Linked DNA regions of Xenopus tropicalis. Each later gene encodes a partner of the first gene's protein in a complex. Links are inferred from orthologs where the notes say so. Each region holds a gene or a part of one and is shown in the gene's direction. Other genes may lie near its edges.

Region 1 (5,716 bases):
TTAAAAGACGTAAGTATGATTGGGCTTACCTGCTTGTCCCCACTTTATTTCTTTAGGGTTTGGGCTAGTGTAATAAAAAATTCTGTAGTTTATATACTAAACTTATGGTACAATCCCAAGGGTAATTCTGAGTGCTATACCTTTAAAACTGGTAGAATACATTTAAACACTAATATTTGTACATTTCATTAAATAAAGTACTCTTGTGCTTGCATTGGGCATAGTTTTTTTGGGCATTCATTGGGCATAGTTTTACCTGTTGTAATATTGTAATAATGGTTTAAATTCACTGTAAAGTACAAATAAACTTTTTGTTGCAGGTATATGATGATGGCAAATATGTGTATTTAGTAACGGAACTAATGAAAGGAGGGGAACTTTTAGATAAAATACTGCGGCAAAAGTTCTTCTCTGAGCGAGAGGCAAGTGCAGTGCTGCACACGATAACCAAAACTGTAGAATACCTCCATTCCCAGTGGGTAAGTAATCACTTGGGCAAAATGTAGTGCTTTATGGTAGCACAGGCTTACCATGAAATATGCTACACAATGCATTTTCATGTTCTTCCACTTAAACATCAAACAGTTAGGACACTTTTCAGGTTTAATGTGCGAGTAGAGTAAGAGCAGTTCCACTATGCAACTAAAATTATACAAGCTTACATTATACTGTTAAATAAGTATGAAACAGGTAGTATCTAGACTAATAAGAGCTGGTGTACTGTTTACAAACTACCACCCTGCATCAGTCCCAGACCCAGACTGGCAGTCTGGGAATTCTGGCAAATGCCAGAGTGGCTGCAGTAAGATGCCATAGACAGTCTCTGTTGGGCTGGTGAGGGGGGCTGTTTGGGCCTCTGTGTATTTGAAATACCAGGGCATTTTATAAATCCCAATCTAGACCTGCCCTGCATGCTGCATTAACTTATACTAAATATGCTGATATTAGGGTAAGAAAATAATGTCTTTATTGTGTACAGCCCCTCTCCAGTTAACCTTTCTGTATGATGTTCAGATTGCAGACTTGTAGGGTTACTGCATATTCATAATAGTACCAATACTTTTGTGAGCACTTGGGCTGTGTTTCTGCATTGGACTAGCTATGCATTTTTAGTTTAGTTTAGCAGCTGCACTTTTCACTACCCTTTCAGGTAACAGTTCTAAAGGCAACTTCCCATTGTTTTGATCTACACTACTCGATCAGTGATCAACATGGCCCTTTTGCCATAGTCTAGAATGCTGACATTTCACAACAAGTTGTGATGTGGTCCCCGATCCGACTGAATCTTTTATTGATATCTGCCCAATTTCAGGCCAGATATCGGTCGGGCAGGCCCCCTCGTTTCTCCCCCTACACGAGCCGATAAGCTGCTGATATCGGTCCCTTGGACAATCGGCCCATGTATGGGGACCATAAGACTAAGCTAGAACAAAAAAACATTTTTGTAAGCTAAGTTATTAAATTTGATAGGGTTGCTAAAACACCTAGGGCGCAATTTAATTTGAATTAATGTATTACATGTTCTTTACATGTCTTTTCATGTCCATATATTTTAGGTCGTCCACAGGGATCTCAAGCCAAGCAATATTCTTTACGTGGATGAGTCTGGGAACCCTGAGTCTATTAGAATTTGTGACTTTGGCTTTGCAAAGCAACTCAGGGCAGAAAATGGCCTGCTTATGACTCCATGCTATACTGCAAATTTTGTGGCACCTGAGGTAATTCATCTATTCCTCTGATTTGCTCACAGTTAATATGACTAGTAAAAAGTTCCTCTGTAGTATCCCCTATTAACATATGCCACCCAGACATTAAGAAAAAAGGCGTAAACTGTAACCATTTTGTCAGTAAAGTCTGTATTTGACAACAGGGTGGAAAATGTACACGATATTCTCACTGTCAAGCATCTTGCCTGCATTAAACAGAAATCCTTCCAGGCACAAAGTGATGTGAAATACTTCTTTCACATTTATCAGAAATTCTGTCACTAAACATACCATGAGCATGCCATAAACAGGACAAGTCATTTACAAGCACTAATAGCTTCTTGTAGCCAATGCTACATACCTCATCCATGAAATTTGATTGTTGAACTGTGAATAAATACTTTAAAATACTTAGGCTTAATTTTATATTCTTCTCTAATTTTTTCAGGTATTAAAGCGCCAAGGCTATGATGCAGCATGCGACATATGGAGTCTGGGTGTACTACTTTATACTATGCTGACAGGGTAAGTTAACATGATGCTTAAACCTTTCATCAGGGGCATATACAGAAATATACATAATAGACTTAACACTAGGTTATACTGATCAATGAGTGCAGGCTCTGCCCAGTTCAGTTACCTGCTCTTGAACCCATTAAAAATAAAATATAATGTGTGGTTACTGCTATTTGTAATACTGTATATTTTTCTCATATTTCAGATACACTCCTTTTGCAAATGGGCCAGATGATACACCAGAAGAAATCCTAGCAAGAATAGGAAGTGGAAAGTTCTCTCTAAGTGGTGGCTATTGGAATTCTGTTTCAGATATTGCCAAGGTCAGTTTGTGTGCAGATCAGTTACTCAGTATTCCTTATCTGCTGCTTTTCTGCAGTTTGTTGCATCATTATACAGCAATCTCCCAGACTTGCTTTGTCCCACTGAGTCAGCATTAAGATTGTTGCCACTCATAACAATAAGGTGCTTATTTGGCTGGTGCGCAGTGACTTCTGGTGCTGTTTGGATACTGGCTTCCATCTTTTAAAGTGGGGTAATTGCATTTGAAGTGCCATTCACTCAAATAATATTAATAGTATGAGGAGACAGAATTATTTCTGCTTTATAGTGGGATAGTCCTGATAAATAGGTATAATAGGGACAGCTGCATTTTAGTGTTTTTACACTATTTACAGATCAGTATATTGTGCCAAGCTCTGTTGTGTTGTGTTGGTGTTTTGTCCACTCTGGGTTCCCTGAGAGGGCAGTGGCTTCATATAAAGCGAGCTTCATATCCTATCTCATGATCAATTCTAAAGATGCTCATTTTGTTTAATAACTGTTTAGAAAGGCTGCTAAATATATTTTTATGCACTACCATAGGACCTAGTTTCAAAGATGCTTCATGTGGATCCACATCAAAGGTTAACTGCAGCCCAAGTACTCAAGCACCCCTGGATAGTACACTGTGACCAGCTGCCTCAGTTTCAGCTAAACAGACAAGATGCTCCACACCTAGTAAAGGTAATGTAGTGTATTTATTCTTCTAGACCAGCCTAAGGAAAGGTGGGGTGCCAAACCTTAGTTTCTAAGAAGCGGAAGAAAATGGCAGTGATGAGCTTTTATAGAAGTACCAAGGGCCAGTTCCGTTTTTAGCAAACCAGGGCACTGGCCTGGGGTTTTAGGCAGGAGATTCTAATCACTGGGAGGGGTGCCTAATATATTGGCATAATATATTTGTTTATATCATTAATGAATACTGCTATTTTAACTTTGCACTTGCAAAACTTGAACTTGCTTGTGGATACTTTCTATTAATCCCAGGGCAGCTGTCCAAGTGCATAGAATGAATCCATTATATACACATGGACAGTATCTGGCAATATGAACCATATAAAGAAAATCATAAAATAGTATTTAGCAGAATGTAATTTTTATTTCGCCGCATTTCAACATTTTGGGGATACAGAATTGTGTATTTATAAAGCATTACATTCTGTATTATGCCAACACTAAAATAAATGGCTACCCCTTTTGGAATAAAAAGTACAGCAAAATAGTAAATGTTTTCAGGGTAAATTACAGGGACCAGGGAAGAAGTGAAAGAGCACAGAAGCTGCACTGCCCCAGCCCCTTATGAATACAGTAATGCCGAACAGTTTTGGAGCACAGGGGCATTCGGAATTTGTTTAATCTAGGAAGGCAGTGTGCAAAAATTACATTTCTTAACTTGCCCTCACACCTTTGTGTTGTTTAATGCAGGGAGCCATGGCAGCAACTTACTCTGCTTTGAACCTTAATCCATTGTCTCCCGTTCTGGAACCCGTTGGTCGTTCAACTCTGGCTCAGAGGAGAGGTATAAAGAAGATCACCTCCACTGCCCTGTGAAAGTCAAGTCATCTGTAAGAGCAGCCTGGAGCTGAAGATTCACAGCACAAAAAAAATATTAAAGCCAACAGTGATAGCACATATCCTAAAGACACTCCGGCAAGCAAATGCTCACTGTCTCTGCCGGCTCTCATAATCAATGCTGCTGCTTCTGTCTGTTCTCAGTAGTTAAGTGATGGAAAAACCCATCCAACCATGCCAGGACTTTGTCATCTGTACAATGGAACTGTCCTTGGGTGAATCCAATAGACTCTTCACCTCTCAAACTGAAGAATACACTGAAAATGATACAAAACACAAAAATATCTCAACGGTGAACAGCATTATTTTTATATAAGTATTCGTAGTCCTCCAAAATAACGGGTTCTAGGTTCACTTTTTATTTGAGCACTTGCATACTTTCAGCTCTTTGTTCTTTAAAGCGATGGATAAAACATGCCACTCAGCCTTCTGCCGTTGCTTCTGGCATTGCTGGATAGATTCAACGTCTTGCCAATCTACCCTTCCCCACATTTTGTGTTTTTTATTCTTCTTTTTAGATCATCTTTGCCTTGTCTTAATACAGAATAAGATATAGCCATGGAATGATTGTGTGGACTTCTCTGTAAAATACAACTGTGGAATTTCTCATGAATGTATCACAACCTAGATGAGCAACAAGAACTGTTACTGTGGGATGACCGCCGTAATAGCTTTCAAACTGCAATAAGTTCAAGCATTATGCCTCCAGCAAGCAGTACTAGGTGTATCTCTGACTTTGTTCATTGTCTTTTTTCGGGATTGTAGATCAGTAACCTTCCAATTTCCCACTTTGCTTTTCTTTGGTTTTTATTTTTTTGCATTGAAACGATGTACAACCTCATCAATCTGGTTCAGCAATCCACTTTTAAATCAGCTGTGCTTTTTAAGGGTTTCAGAGCACTTTAGCTCCCTAAACGGGTGCAAGCTTTAAAGCTGTCCTGGCATGAGCAGGCCACTGTATTCTGCTTCACGCATTAAGGCACAACCATAAAAAACAACCTGTTTGTTAGTGCCTGATGGCTGTAGGGAAAATGTCAGCACTTGTACTATTATAATTACTTGTTCTCAGAAGAAGGACTTTGCCAAAATCTTGCAAGGTTTGATATTGACTATGAGATGAACTGTTTATAAGACAAGCAGGCCTTTTGTGGATCTTTTGAGTTCTATGGCTAATGGCACACAAGGCAGTTTCTCTGCTGGTGGGTTTTATGTGGCCAATAAACACTTGACCCGTTTGTGCTGTTTTCTGATGACTTTAATGGAAGTCCTATGACACTGCTAGTACAAGCAGTTATCTGCCTGAAAATGCTCTAATGTGAATTTGGGGCACAGGCTTACTGGCTACTGGCGTGTCTCTGTTGGCTGAAGTACACTGGTGGAAAAAATGACCCTTGTGTCATTAGCTTAATGGTGGAGGTATTGCTTTTTTTTTTTTCTTCCCTTACAAACCACAGGGGGTAAATGAAATGAATTTCTCACTAAGAGCTTCCTTTTAAAGAGGTAATAAATAATTCAAGATGCCCCCTTTTAAGAGTTATGGATTTCAGGTGGTTTCTATTGCTGAAAGTGAATCTACCATGAAAGGTTAGGAGAACAAATGTGTG
Region 2 (6,491 bases), on another chromosome or scaffold:
GGGGGAGCAGAGGATAGGAAATACTTAATAGGCCTGATGTACTAATAGCTCACTCTTTACACTATCATTTGTAAGAAACATGGTTATCCTTATAAATGGCTCCTGGCACCCTATACTTACATGCCTGTTTTAGCATTACCATTGCTCAGCCAGGAAAAAGAATGGTGGTGTCCTACAGTCTGTGCAAGTCTGTTTGTTATTCAGCTCCTTAAATTAATTCACTGATATTCTGTTATTAAATAAAAAGATCTCTGAAAATACAGACCTTGAAGAGGACAACGATCGTGTGGATGTAAACTAAAAATGGAAAATAATGTGCTTCTAATTAGGAAAACTGGATGCGTGCCCTTATCATCATTATTGCATTTTGGCTTCCAGGATTTTTCACTGCCAATTTGTGCATAAACACAAAAGTGGCAAACAGTTTCTTACTGGGTTTGTACAAGGAAGGAGAATCAAATGTGCTGTTTCCACTTTCCTCTGAAACATTCTAGCTATAGGCACTTAACTTGGCTCCTCAGGATTTTTGTCTCCATTAAGGCTATTACCAGACGGGACATCAGCCGATCTGCTGGCTTCTGCTCCCTCCTGTGTCTGCACTGAGAGGTGCTGCATCGGCACGGGTGCAGAAACACAGAGCGGATTTTGGCTTCCTTTCTGTGTGCTGCTAAACCAAGCCACTGGCTGGGATAAGGGTATGGGAGGGGATTTGGAAGAATCAATAATCTAGGCCTCCTAAAGAAGTTATGCTGCCATGACTGAAACAGAGAATCTGCTATTTCTGGGTACTATCTTGTATGCATGTTACTGTGTGTGTGGGTATCTAATGCGCAGGTGTAAGCAGCAGTCCTGCCATACACAAGGTATCATTAGCTGTGAATGGACCAGGAGAGCTGGCAGCTGAAAGTAGGTGAGAAGTGGCAGACTGAGGGCAAACCCTAGGCTCAGTAGGGCTGATGCTGTGTGATACTCTTACCACATGTAAAGCATTCATTATAACTTAAATTGTACACTGAACAGATCAGTGGTTTCCCTTCAGAACTGAGGGGTCTCTGTCTTTGTGTTCCAGGACATGCAGGATACCTATTATATCTCCCTCAGAATTCTCCGGCCCGTTTTGGAGAAGAGGTTGACAACAGGAGGCAAGAACAGAGCGCAGAGCATCGGATCGCCCGCAAACTGCAGTGTATTGGAGACCAGTTTCACAGGTTTCATCTGCAGAGAGTAATTCATTACTTTTTCTATATGATCTAGGAGTCAGGGGTTAAGAGAAATTTATAAGTCAGGATCATTGTTTAACCACAGGCAACTCCTTTCTAAGGACAACATTAGGATTCTACCTGTAAAATAATGGTGTAAACACACAAAAGACTAATTATCAGTCTTGCATTCTAAGAACCAAAAAGGAGCATCCAGCAAAATGGGGGCTAAGGAATTTAGCATTTTTAGGCTTTTTCATCTACCTCAAATGTCATATCTATCTACATAGGAAGATTTTACAGTTTGTTGTGAAAATAGATTAGAATCTACTATGCTTTTTTATCTTATAAAGAGAACACATTTTTTTTCCTCAGGCCATTGTTTTTTGGCAAAGAGAATTGATTTAAATTTTAAATCATTTTCTTTTTTGAAGTGGTATTTCACAGGCAGGAACATGGTACTTCCATGGGCACAGATCTATACCCCCAACCATGCTGGATAATTTTTGCCTTTGGAAGGGAAGGTATGTATGGGCAGAATCTGTGTAACTCGTCTGCTTTGTATTCTTGACTAGGGTGTTTAGGGTGAAATGGAATCCTGAATCTGTGATCTAATAATATCAATATCTTAAATATACAGATTACTATGAGCATGTAAATAAGTGGGATTAATAAAATATGTTTAATGTAAAGTAAGAATTTAAAATATTTGTTTTACTTTGCTTGTATTTAACACGGTATATCCCCTTCAACATGAGTTCAATGAATTGGGTTTATGCTGAACATACTCTGCCCATTGTTTTAATAATAAAAAAATAGTTTTTGTTATTACTTGAGCTTAATAGGGCAAACAGGGAAACTGAAGCTACTCCTGTGTTTGGCTCTTGCCAGCTAGATAATTAGATTACCACTAATTACCCCTAATTATCTACCTTGCAAGGACCAAACATGTTGAACAAGGGGGTATACTACCCCTTTAGGGTGATGGCCCAAAAGGGAGATTAGTCTCCTGCAGTTAAATCTTTGCTACCACAGGGGATTAATCTCCCCGAAGTGCCTATCCATCAGCAACAAAGTGAATCGCCGGTGGGAAGGCATACACGTCACATCATTTTCCAAAGTCACACAAAGTTTCCTCCTGAAGGAAACTTTGGGCAACCTTGGAAAACAAAGCGCTGCACAAGCCTTCACAACAGCGATTCACTTTCTTGCTGGTGGGAAGGCATTTTGGGGAGATTAGTTGCCCATGGTAGCCTAGAATTACCGTGGGTGTGTAATCTCTCTTGAGCCGTGGCCCTTAACGTTAAAGGTTTTTTGAGAAATTGTGGTCAGAGCTTAGTTTGATTAGATGGAAATCCCATGAGCACTTTGTTAAATGGAGTAGACACAGGGAAAGTTATAAAGACTGCCTGAAACATCCACGTGGTGGATTTTCTGTGGATAAATGTGCGCAAGTATGTTTCATATATTGTGTTTGAAAGTTCAGATAAATGTTTTAATGAGTGCCGTTAATTATGCAACGAACGCAGTGGCAGAACTATAAAGGAAGCCATCCCACGGTTGCAGGGGGGCCTGGACTATGGGGTCTACTTCCTCTATAGGTCTAAGAAGTTTCCCTTCCCCAGGCGCTTCTTACCTACTTAGCGGGAGTGGTAGAGGGATAGCTGGGTAGGTGCGTGCTGGGTCCTTTAAAGATATTTTCTGCAGGGGGCCTGGTGTAACGCTGTTATGCCACTGAATAAAAGGCAAAAGGTGTATTGATATAGAAAAACACTCATACTTACATCTAAAACAAATCATAGACTCATGAATAAATGCATATAATCGCTCCAGCTTGTGGGTGTAGTCTTTCCCTTAGACACCTATATTTGGGTGACAAGGCAACATTTATAGTTATGGACCCAGGCACAAGGGTGTTAGTGGATATATGCTTTGTGAGCTCTGTTGCCAGCAACTTCCAAATTAACTGTTGCTGGAAAAATGTTGACAGACCAATCTTTTGTCAGTCATGGATCAGCAGGACATTCCCAGATGATTGGTTTGGCAGCCTTCGGCTACAAACAGCCAGTTGCAATTAGGAGCAGTTGGTGACTAGAGAAAAAGAGACCAGTTTTAGGGCAGGTAAACACATACGCTTGACTCAATGGCCAAGAAACTTAGGACAGAAGAAGATCCAGCAATAAAGGCCAGATTCTTTTCTGTGAGGAAAAATAAGTCCTCACTCATGGTATAAGTTGGTTCACTGACAGTTACACCACTTGCTGCCATTCATGTCTTCCACACAGCTATTACCACATATTATCAAAGTTGTGCTGTTCCAAGTCCCTACTACACTTTAATCAATAAATCGTTGATGAGCGCCAGCTATAAACCGTACTGTTACTCCATCATACTTCGTACTTTCTTTTTTTTTTCCTCAGTTTTAGCTGATGTCAAGGAGCAGCACTGGTAGAACAGGTTTAACAGAAATCTGACTCCTTTCTCTCGGTTTATTTTAATCCAGTGACTTTGTGTCAGGGAGCAGAGAGGGGGGAGGAAGACAGAACGTGGCCAAATAAAAGAAAAATAAATGAAAACACAGAGATGGTGAAAGCAAACTGACACCACACTCGCCCAGCCATACTCCCTCCTTTTTCCCTGGCCCCAGATAGAGTTGTCTCTGAAGCACAGGGTGGAGCAGACTGAGGTTGGCAAGGTGCAGTGGGTGTGGCTTGTGAGTTCTTAGCCGCTGGGCTCCCATAACAACTGACAGCAGACTCATGAACTTTTAACCACCCTTTATAATCCACGGCTAGTTGACAGCTTATGACCACAAGGATCCTGCCAGTTTCTATAGGACCAGTATGTATGTGTGTTGCATGTGGTCCAGGGCATATGTGCACCAATGTGGAACTACCTGTTTTGGAATACAGACAGAACAAGATGTTGAAATGAAAGTTGCAGACTGATACAGTTCTTCAAGTATCGCCAGTCATAGGGAAGATCCACTTGCATAAATCTTTCTCATAGCCCTGCACTAGCAAGTCATTGGAATCAGCACAGGGGTTGTTGTTGCAGAACAGGAAGTAAAAAGGAGACCTTTCAGCTAAGAAACCGCCAGAAACCATTGCTTTTTTTTGTAAAAATTAGAGCTCATGTAAACTGACCTATTTGTATGTGTGTGATTTTGATTTGGACCAACTGGTTGTACTATCAGCACCTGGTGTTTTTATTGTGGGTTGCATTGGTCCGTGGACCCCATTAGAAGTAACTGTGAGTGTTGGAAGTAACTGCATTCTGGTTCCACTGTCTACCATGAAAATAATTACATTTCCATGTGTATGAATTCATGTGTGAATTGGTTTTTGTAATACAAGATGGATACAATTTTACATTGAAAAACAGCTTGTCATTTAAAAATGTGAAGTTGCATAAAAATGAATGAGATGCAACAAATCTGTAGATTTTGGATTTGTGCCGTAAACAAATGATCCACAAAAGATTCGGTTAAACCATAATTTGCTTATTCAGATTTTTAAACAAAAAATGGCATTATCTGTAAACAAATCTGTAAAAAAAAATGTAATATTCAGTTGTCTTGAACATGACTTTGGTGAAGTCAAATGAACAGTTGCAGTTTGACCAAATCCTTGAAAAAGGATTTAACAGTATCCCAAACCTAGTGGGGCCCAAGGAAGCCAGTAGTCTGATTAATGTTCCACAAAGGGGTCAGGGCATATGGTTGAGGCCATGACTTGGAGCGCTATTTAATTAGGCTTTTTTTTTTTTTTTTTTTTTTTAATATTTGTGCCAAACTCTGCATAGTTGACAGGGTCCACCACTCAGGGGACCCAGGCATATGGTGGTCTAATAACTTGGGCCCCTGGGGGGAGAGTGCTGCTTACTAGTGTATGTAGCTGATGGTTGCATTACCAACACAGAATCTTAAATTCAGGGCAACTTTCCAATACAATTGCCTTATTAAAAATCACATTTCTTTGTGAGGCGATGTGTATTTCTGCTTTTACTACAGGGCCAAACTCTAATTATTTGACTGGCCCACCCATTGGCTAGGACCTATGAGATGATATCATTACACAGGAATACAATGGAGCTCATCACAGTACATACAGTTCTGCAGCCTAACTTCTTATTATGGGCAAGTTACTTCCTGTTCCTGATAAGGCACAATTTGGTAACTTGCTTTTGGACAGAGTTATCACCATCTCTCCCTACTATACCTGTTATCCCACAGCCTCAGTCCCTTCCCAGAGGCTATTATCCCACTGCTACTATAGGCGCCATCTCTCCCTACTATACCTGCTATCCCACAGCCACAGTCCCTTCCCAGAGGCTATTATCCCACTGCTACTATAGGCATCATCTCTCCCTACTATACCTGCTATCCCACAGCCACAGACCCTTCCCAGAGGCTATTATCCCCCCACTGCTACTATTGGCACCATCTCTCCCTACTATACCTGCTATCCCACAGTCCCTTCCCAGAGGCTATTATCCCACTGCTACTATAGGCACCATCTCTCCCTACTATACCTGCTATCCCACAGCCACAGTCCCTTCCCAGAGGCTATTACCCCCCCCCCCACTGCTACTATAGGCACCATCTCTCCCTACTATACCTGCTATCCCACAGCCACAGTCCCTTCCCAGAGGCTATTATCCCACTGCTACTATAGGCGCCATCTCTCCCTACTATACCTGCTATCCCACAGTCCCTTCCCAGAGGCTATTATCCCACTGCTACTATAGGCACCATCTCTCCCTACTATACCTGCTATCCCACAGCCACAGTCCCTTCCCAGAGGCTATTACCCCCCCCCCCCCACTGCTACTATAGGCACCATCTCTCCCTACTATACCTGCTATCCCACAGCCACAGTCCCTTCCCAGAGGCTATTATCCCCCCACTGCTACTATAGGCATCATCTCTCCCTACTATACCTGCTATCCCACAGCCACAGTCCCTTCCCAGAGGCTATTATCCCACTGCTACTATAGGCACCATCTCTCCCTACTATACCTGCTATCCCACAGCCACAGTCCCTTCCCAGAGGCTATTATCCCACTGCTACTATAGGCACCATCTCACCCTACTATACCTGCTATCCCACAGCCCCAGTCCCTTCCCAGAGGCTATTATCCCCCCACTGCTACTATAGGCACCATCTCTCCCTACTATACCTGCTATCCCACAGCCACAGTCCCTTCCCAGAGGCTATTATCCCCCCACTGCTACTATAGGCACCATCTCTCCCTACTATACCTGCTATCCCACAGCCACAGTCCCTTCCC

Evidence for each region.
Region 2: the proteins of rps6ka3 (region 1) and bmf are in contact, whole or in part, in a crystal structure (PDB 8R58), measured with the Homo sapiens proteins. The link is inferred for Xenopus tropicalis from reciprocal best matches to the Homo sapiens genes RPS6KA3 and BMF. Residues at the interface, in NP_004577.1 of Homo sapiens: Trp252, Phe259, Phe268, Leu281, Ala283, Lys284, Leu285, Gly286, Met287, Pro288, Leu299, Arg300, Phe303, Lys304, Arg305, Asn306, Asn309; in NP_001003940.1 of Homo sapiens: Glu8, Leu10, Glu11, Asp12, Asp13, Val14, Phe15, Gln16, Pro17.

Annotation. Positions count from the first base shown.
Region 1 is NC_030678.2:43,793,679-43,799,394, reverse strand, and holds part of rps6ka3 (ribosomal protein S6 kinase alpha-3), read left to right. Parts: coding exon 1-9; intron 10-320; coding exon 321-479; intron 480-1,556; coding exon 1,557-1,718; intron 1,719-2,154; coding exon 2,155-2,231; intron 2,232-2,427; coding exon 2,428-2,545; intron 2,546-3,086; coding exon 3,087-3,227; intron 3,228-3,965; coding exon 3,966-4,091; 3' UTR 4,092-5,716. UniProt on the Homo sapiens protein: Serine/threonine-protein kinase that acts downstream of ERK (MAPK1/ERK2 and MAPK3/ERK1) signaling and mediates mitogenic and stress-induced activation of the transcription factors CREB1, ETV1/ER81 and NR4A1/NUR77, regulates translation through RPS6 and EIF4B phosphorylation, and mediates cellular proliferation, survival, and differentiation by modulating mTOR signaling and repressing pro-apoptotic function of BAD and DAPK1.
Region 2 is NC_030684.2:114,253,049-114,259,539, reverse strand, and holds part of bmf (bcl-2-modifying factor), read left to right. Parts: intron 1-1,069; coding exon 1,070-1,208; coding exon of another isoform or gene 1,209-1,224; intron 1,225-1,633; coding exon 1,634-1,723; intron 1,724-6,491. UniProt on the Homo sapiens protein: May play a role in apoptosis. Isoform 1 seems to be the main initiator.